Oreochromis niloticus: one gene and its partner. The protein of the gene in region 1 interacts with the protein of each later gene in a pairwise test. Links are inferred from orthologs where the notes say so. Each region holds a gene or a part of one and is shown on either strand. Other genes may lie near its edges. The genes, in order: shtn1 and fabp3.

Region 1 (3,921 bases):
TATATCGAGATATCTTCTTTTTCAAATAAAGCCCAACGAAAGCAAAGCAACAGGTTTCCTGTAGAGACCCATGATGATACCACCATGTTCTAAGAAATCCCTTAAATTACAATCATCTTTATGACTGATATTAGCACAGATTTAATATCATAATTTAGTAACTGTACGGAAACAAACGTTCAGGTGCTGGAGTTTGTTTTAAGAGCGGTCAGTCCTCTTTACTCTCCGTGTTACGTGGACCTGGATGCGTTCTTGTCTCTGGACCTTCTTGCTTCTTCTCTGCATTTACATTTTTGTGGTGTTTTGATTTGTCTTGCAAAAACATGAGTGAGTGTATTTTAAAGAAATCACATCTGTCTGCAGAAACAGTTTATTGTGCAACCATGGTTCTGTGAGTTTACATTAAATTATATGACATATGAAATTATATGTTGTGTGTCCTGGATCATTGTCCCCTCCTGCCAACATCTGAGCTAATATATCTGTTACTGGCTGTAACAAAAGTATAAATATGTAACTACAAGGCTGCTGCATACTTTCTTTGTTAGAGCTGTGAACTGTAAATCAGCTCTCCTAGTTTCTGCTGAGACACCCAGTGTCCTCTCTCACTGCCTTCATCAGCTGTTAGCTAGCATCAGATGAGCCAGTGTGACAGTTAAGCTAACATCATCCTGATACAGGTCACAATGTGCTGCACACAAGAAGAGCCAGAGATAAATGAAGGCTTTCTGTTTAATGTTGGTCTGGTTTATATTTAATTCTTACAGAATGTGTTTGAATAGAAAATTAATATGCAAAGAAAAGAACCAAGCAGCTGTGTGAGGTCACTCTATGATAGTCGAAGCCACGGTTCATTTATTGTGACTGAAGTGAATAAAAAAGTGGACTAAACGGGCAGCATCGTTATTCTGTTGCATGTGTTTGTTTACTTCTGCTGTTGATATTTCTGTGTTTAATGTTGATGTCCGCGTGCCAGAATATTTATGAGCCGGGCTGAAATCGGTCACCGAGTATTATTATTATTATCATCATTATTATTATTATTATATTTGTTGTTTTTTGTTCTTTTTAATCATTTTGAGATTAAAGTGGAGATTCTGGTTGTTCGGAGACGAAGCTCCACGGTCAGTGAAGGTCGTGCTTCAGAGCCGGTTTTTATTACAAGGAAGGAAATGATTTCTGTTCTCGCACATAAACACAGTGAGGTGATAAACACAAGGATGTTCAAAAGGAGAGCTGCATCAGGTCACACGGAAACCCACACAACCGTTGTGCCAAGGTAGGGCTCTGTGGAAAGGACATTTCTATACAGACGAGCTTTTAAGTTCTGTTTTCATTGTTTTATATTATTATTCATATTTCTGGTTTTATTGAGGAGCACTTTGTGACTTTTATCTATGAAACGTGCTGTATAAATACATTTGAGTTACAATTAACTAGACGTGTGAGTATGACGTTTAGCGAAACAGTGAGAGATGAGCGCCGTTACGTTACCGACAGAAATGACACGTTTATCATTGTCACGTGGTGTCGGACGTTTTGCCTGATTATTTGTATCCTCTGTATCTTTACTGCATCTTTACTGTATAAAGAGCTAAGACCTCCAAAGCTGCAGGAGTAATAAGTCCTTGTAGGAAGTGTTTGGGAACTAAAAATCAAGAATGACAGATACAAGGTTACATCCTCGTACAATAAAGACGCCTGTTTCATGAAGCCATCTACACTAAGCTTGTTGTAAAGGGTGCAGCAGCCGTGCAGTTTGTCTTCAATCAGCTGTAATCCGCACACTTCGACTTTATTCTCAAAATAATCAATAATATTGTTCCTAATCCTAATGTGGCCCTTATGCTCACTCCTAGCGTCTCTTGTCTGTGCTATCTCAGCTGCACTCTTATCTCGTGCCGTGCGCCAGTGTCCACCTGGGCAGGTGTGTCTTGAAAGAACACTTCCTGTTGAACTTTGGACAAGGATTTTTGTCATGGCTGCGGAGGAACTCGACAGAATTAATGTTATTACAAACCTGTCGAATCAGGGTAAGTTTCTTTTCTGTTCCCTGCCCTGTAACAGTGTTTCCAGTAGTAACACTGCATTTTACTACAGTGACATCACAGCCCAGCAGTTGTAAGATCCTGAAGAGTGTCTTTAAGATTTACTGCTTGCCTAGTGTCGAGGGCTGGATTATCACATAGCTGCTTATTTGCCTTCTCTAAGGGTTTTGTTTCTATGGCCAAAGGTGTGTACAGTAAGATGCTGCTTTAACTTGACGTAACAACTCTGCCAAAGTCTAACGTGGCCTGTGGATTAAACACCTAATCTTAAAGCAAGCCTGTGGTGAAAAAAGAGGTTGGACCCCTCATGTTATACTACGTAGAGCATACTTTGGTTGTGACAGCAAGAGAAGGACACATGTTAGGCAGGATAATCCATTTAGATGACCTCCTTTTGGGTTTTGCGCACGCTTGCTCACTGTCGTGGCTCACTGGGCTACTTGATGAAACTTAAAATGGGTCCCAGTGGGAGAAACGTTTCGTCACTCATCCAAGTGACTGTTTCAGTCACTAAATGCAGGTTTACCCAACATTATAAACAGTTTGTATAATGAATGAACAATGGGCTGGGAGGTTATTGATCAGTAATCTGCACTTTGTCATGAACACTGACCAACGGCCATGAGTCCCATTCACAGAGAGTTGGGGAATGGCTGCAATCACAGCATTGTAAGATGGTGACAGATGTACCCTTAGGCCCCCTCCTCCATTCAGAGATGGTCTTTCCCTTTTCACGTAAATGGCCTCCTTGACTCCGCCCTCAAACCAGCGTTCTTCCCTGTCCAGGATATGTACATCCTCATCATTGAAAGAGTGTCCAATGGCCTGTAGGTGTAAATAGACTGCAGAGTCCTGGCCTGATGAGGTAGCTCTTCTGTGTTGTGCCATCCGCTTCGCCAGAGGTTGTTTGGTTTCCCCGATGTATAAATCCTGGCACTTAACAGCGTACACTATGTTACTCTGTTTGTGTCGGGGGACCCGATCCTTGGGGTGGACCAGTTTTTGGTGCAGCGTGTTTTGGGGTTTAAAAGCCACAGAGACTCGGCGATACTCCTGACACGTACAGGATCACTACAGGTTTTCGCCTGGGCAGCGGTTGTCCTTCTCTCCTGGATCGGCTGGAGCTTTCTTTGGGAGCTTTCTCTGCTTTGACAAAAGTCCAGCTGGGATAACCACATTTACTCAGGGCCTTCCTGATGTGCTGTTCTTCTGCTTCGCTGGCCGCTGTGTCTGTGGGGATGGTGTTCACTCTGTGTTGTGTTGTAATCTGCAGTCAGCTCTGACTCAGCTCTGATGCTATCTAATTATGTAACATATGTGGAGAATGACTCTAGACAGGCTCAGCTGGCAGTTGGACGTGCTGCTTTGTTAGCCCGGAGATCATCGAGATGTCAGAATCAGAACACTTTCCCAGAGCAAACACGATAAGAACTAACTAAACTAAATAAAAATAAATATATTACAAAGTTACAAAATAGAACTAATAGCTCTAATTATAAATATGCCAGTACAATACACAAAGTGAAATGTATAAAGTTGACATTGAGGTGCCCCTCATATTATATTGGCTTACAGTTTGTGATATTAAGGGTGTGTAATCATTACAGTGTGTACTTGTGCTTTAAATGGAGGAACTGTACAGAGAGAGATTCACAGGCAGGAGTGATTTCCTGTGTCTGTGAGTGGTGCGTTTGGGTAATCTCAGTCTTTCACTGAACGTGCTCCTGTGACGACAGCACACGATGGAGTGGGTGGAGGTATCCAGCTTTGTCCTTAACCTGGACAACATCCGCCTGGCTGACACCACCTGTTGGATGGCCTGAATCCAGTGATGGTCTTCATGCAGACCGCTCTCATGCCGCTCTCTCGAGTT
Region 2 (3,921 bases), on another chromosome or scaffold:
GGTCACAGTCACCATAATGTTAATATTAAAAGGGACAATGACGGGGGTCGATAGCAGCCATATGAGGAGGTGGCGTTGGGGGTTTTTTTTGGCCTGTTTTGAAGAAGTGTTAAGGAGTCTGGGATGCGGGATTTTAGTTGATGCAGGTAGCCGCTGAAATGTTGTGGGATTTTTCTTTCTTTACTCTGCCTTCTCGTAGCGACGCGTGCAAACAACCTCTCCGAGTTTGAGTGTCTGTTTGAAGAGAGAGAGAGAAGAGAAGTTACATGCACATACATACAGAAGTTAAATTTGAATTTGAATTATTCTTTTTTTTTTTGGAGGGGGGGGGTTACTGACCAGCAAGAGAACGTTGCCGTTGACTTCCCTGACCAGACTGGTCTCCTTGCCGTCCCACCGCTGAATGTGCACCAGCTTCCCGTCCTCTATCGTGACAATAGACTGGCGGGGGCAGAAACGAGAGTCAGACACACATCCAGCGAGTGAGTGAGGATCATTTAAATCAGTGGTTCGGCTTTCTGTTATTTCATCCGTGCACTTCACCTTTGCACAGACATCTTTATAGGCAGCTACTGCACTTTTCCCATCTCATGGCAAGCTTGTAAAAAAATACCTAAAGTTACATATTAAAGAACGCAACGCACAGGAACTGTGCAATCATAGAGGACGTCAATGACTTGTTGGGTAATTCATGTGCTCGTGCAACAGCCCACAGCAATATCAGTCTGAATGTGAGCAATAGCCACAGCTTCTTGCCATCAGCAAACACTCTGCGGTATATATGTAGTTTAAGTGAATGCTCCTTGCTCCTGTCCCCTGAAATGTTCCCTTTAAACACTACCGCGCACTCAACTTTATCTCTTTCCTAAAGCTTTATGTCATCCTATCACGACTGTTTCCTCAGCGATCCATCAGCCTGTGCACTGTAATTATGACACCATATTTATTTATGCAGCGATGTTCCAGCAGACTGCTGCTTACCTCATACGAAGCCTGCTTAAAACCTCTTTCATAAAAGTCTAAATAAAAGGTTTTGCATTGCACAAGTTGGACCTTTGACCTCTCACCTTAACCTTCCTGTCGTCGGCGGTGGTCTCGTCGAACTCCTCTCCCAGCTTGAAGCTGAGCTCTGTGTTTTTAATGGTACTCTGGGTCTTCAGCGTCACCGTGTCGCCGTCCACTGAGATGATGGTGGTGGGCTTGGTGAGGTTGGCCACTTTCCGTGTAGCGAAGCCCACGCCTGTGTAACAACACAAATTTCAAACAACCAGGTAAGTCAGGTGAGGTGTGCTGAGGGAGGATTATTCATGTGGAAAATAAACAAGTCGAAAGGTGAGGCAGAGACTCAACCTGTTTCTTTGCCGCTGGCATTGATCCTGTCACATAGGGGCAAAGTTTGTGTCAGTGTATCAAGCAGATGTTGAGATATTCTAACCCGACTTAAAGGAAACATCCTGGGAGCGTTTACAGATACCGAAAGGAATATGTTGTTGCACATCCAGAGCAAAAGCCGTTGGTTTGCCCCCCGGCTGCCCTTCATCTGACATGCCCTCTAATCTCTCTTTTATCAGCCACTTAAGCGTGCTGCACGTTCTTCAAACACTGCAGAGTCCCTCCGACCTGGGAGAGTGCCTGTCTGGGCCTGTGTGTGTGTGCAAATTATTACCTGCTTTCCTGGTGTGCGTTTGTGTGTGTATGAGGGATTGAGTGAATTTGTTTCTTTGGGTAAACGTGATTCACACCATTTGTTTCTCAAACAGAAATAATCTGTTTCTGTTTGAAGTTAACATCCCAATTCATTTACAGCAGTGACATTCCCATAGCACGTGTGTGTGTGTAGATGCCTCATCGATTAAAAGGACTGGGGTTAGAGGTTAAAGGGCGTCTGCTTGTCACCGTGACCAGAGGAAATAGGTCGATGGTGATATGACTCTATACAGCTGTAAAACAAACTCCATCCACCTGCCTCCATCCCACGCTCCACAGCCATGTGTGTGCGAGGTGTTCCGGAGCCAAACTATAACTCCATGTTCCCGTCCCATCAGCTCCTCGTTCCAGCTTGATATTCAGCTCCTCCCATGACCTCACACAATGAACAGCTTTCAGCGAAGGTCACCCACATTATACTACACTGTGTGTGTCTGTGTGTATGAATGCCATTCAGAGATTCCCACAGTGGGGCTGATTTTTCTTTTCTTCACTCAAAAAAGAAAAAGGGGGGGGGCCCTCCCTCCTTTCCAGCACTTGGGCCATGCGGTCAGCCATGCTTCCTCTTTTTCTCCCTCCCTCTGATTCCCATCTTCTCCTGCTTTCTTTCTGTTCCCAACCAATGCCTCGCTCCACCCTTTACTCTACAGCCTACCCCTTTATTTCTCCATTTGAAGCCTCCCTTATTTGCTCCCATCATTGCCCATTTTTTTTTCCCACACCCTGTATCAACAGCTACTTAAAACAGTTTACATATGAAACACACCTTACACCATTTATCTCGCCTCAAACCCGTCTCCACATGCGCTCGCATGCAGCACTGGCACTACTGCTGCATCCTCTCCTGTTTCACACGCATGCGCACACACTCCCCTGCGCAATGTGCATGCATTAAAAAAAACAGAAGAAGAAAGAAATAGAAATACACGGAACACTTACCCAGCTCTTTCATGTACTCATCAAATTTATCGCTCTCCTTGAGGAGCCATGTGCCAACGAAAACATCGACCATGTCTGCAGCGGTGCGGAGGAATGAGGGCGAGAGAGAGAGACGGTGTGTGTGTGAGGGAGAGAGAGAGGCGGCAAAGCAGGGGAGCGTCAGAATGAGAGACGAGGGAAAGAGGCAGGGAGAGTAATGTAAGCGCCACCAGCTTTGCTGTGATCTTACTGGCTGAATGTACCGGCTGTTCGTGATGTCATCACTCTGTGTCACCCACAGACTGCCGGACGCGAGGGGGGTAGGGGGGGTGCAAAGAGAGAACATGTGATAGCCTTGGTTTTGTCAAAGTGATTGCCATGCAAATAAATTGTGTTTGAATTGCTTGAAAGGTTTGTTTGCATCTGCTTTCTGTGCGTATTATCAGCCTTAATAAAGCATCGGAGAAAGAGAAGGAGGATCAGAGAGGGCTTTAGTAGAGAAATCAAAGAAGAGGGAGAAAGGGCAGAGTGGAGAAATTAATGGGGAGGAGGTGGAGGAGTACGAGGCGGTGAGCCTGAGGGAAAAGAGGCCCACCATTGAGTCTTTTTTTTTCTTTTTTTTTTGCAGCTGTTGGTTGTAAATGTGTTTTCTCTGCCCTTCTTTTACTCCCCAGTTGTTCTCGTCATCTCTGGTCCCTCCACCTGGGGGGTTTCCATCCACCTGCACTGTGTGGTTTGCCGGTTATTTTAATGACCCTGATTGTGGCTCACCAAAGTGTGAAAAGTGTAACCAAATGTGTATGTGTGTTTGTGAGAGTGCTTGTAAACACAGATACAGGTTTGCGAATGCTGGCAGACGTGTGTTGCAGTTATGACTGTGAAGATAACAGTGCTGGTGTGTTACTATAGTGCTTGTTTTGTAGACACAGATACAAAACATGTTCACCTCCAACTGGTCACAGATTGCTGCCCCTTCCTGGTTCTGCCAGAGGTTTCTTCCTGTTAAAAGGTAGTTTTTCCTTCCCACTGTTGACAAAGTGCTTGCTCATAGGGTTGTTTGATTACAGTTTCAAACGACCCGCAATACAAAGCGCCTTCAGGTGATTGTTCCTGTGATTTGTCGCTATTGAATTGATCTGTATTAACCCTAGAACACTATCGCTGGGTGATTTTCAACCGAGCAAATACATTTACATGATTTCTCTCTCCTGCAGCTGTTAGCTGTCGAGCAGACTGTGCCTCCACCAGGGAAGTCTCAAATGTCCCAGGAATGGGTGGATCAAAGACCAGCTTTCC

What was found.
Region 2: the proteins of shtn1 (region 1) and fabp3 interact in binary tests that used the Homo sapiens proteins (3 or more experiments, as listed by UniProt). The two-hybrid records come from large-scale screens. The link is inferred for Oreochromis niloticus from reciprocal best matches to the Homo sapiens genes SHTN1 and FABP3.

What each region holds. Positions count from the first base shown.
Region 1 is NC_031978.2:32,201,358-32,205,278, forward strand, and holds the start of shtn1 (shootin-1), read left to right. Parts: upstream 1-1,242; 5' UTR 1,243-1,279; intron 1,280-1,725; exon of another isoform or gene 1,726-1,775; intron 1,776-1,859; exon of another isoform or gene 1,860-1,883; 5' UTR 1,884-1,978; coding exon 1,979-2,033; intron 2,034-3,921. UniProt on the Homo sapiens protein: Involved in the generation of internal asymmetric signals required for neuronal polarization and neurite outgrowth.
Region 2 is NC_031985.2:22,348,809-22,352,729, reverse strand, and holds the start of fabp3 (fatty acid-binding protein, heart), read right to left. Parts: upstream 2,833-3,921; 5' UTR 2,720-2,832; coding exon 2,647-2,719; intron 1,241-2,646; coding exon 1,068-1,240; intron 442-1,067; coding exon 340-441; intron 235-339; coding exon 181-234; 3' UTR 1-180. UniProt on the Homo sapiens protein: FABPs are thought to play a role in the intracellular transport of long-chain fatty acids and their acyl-CoA esters.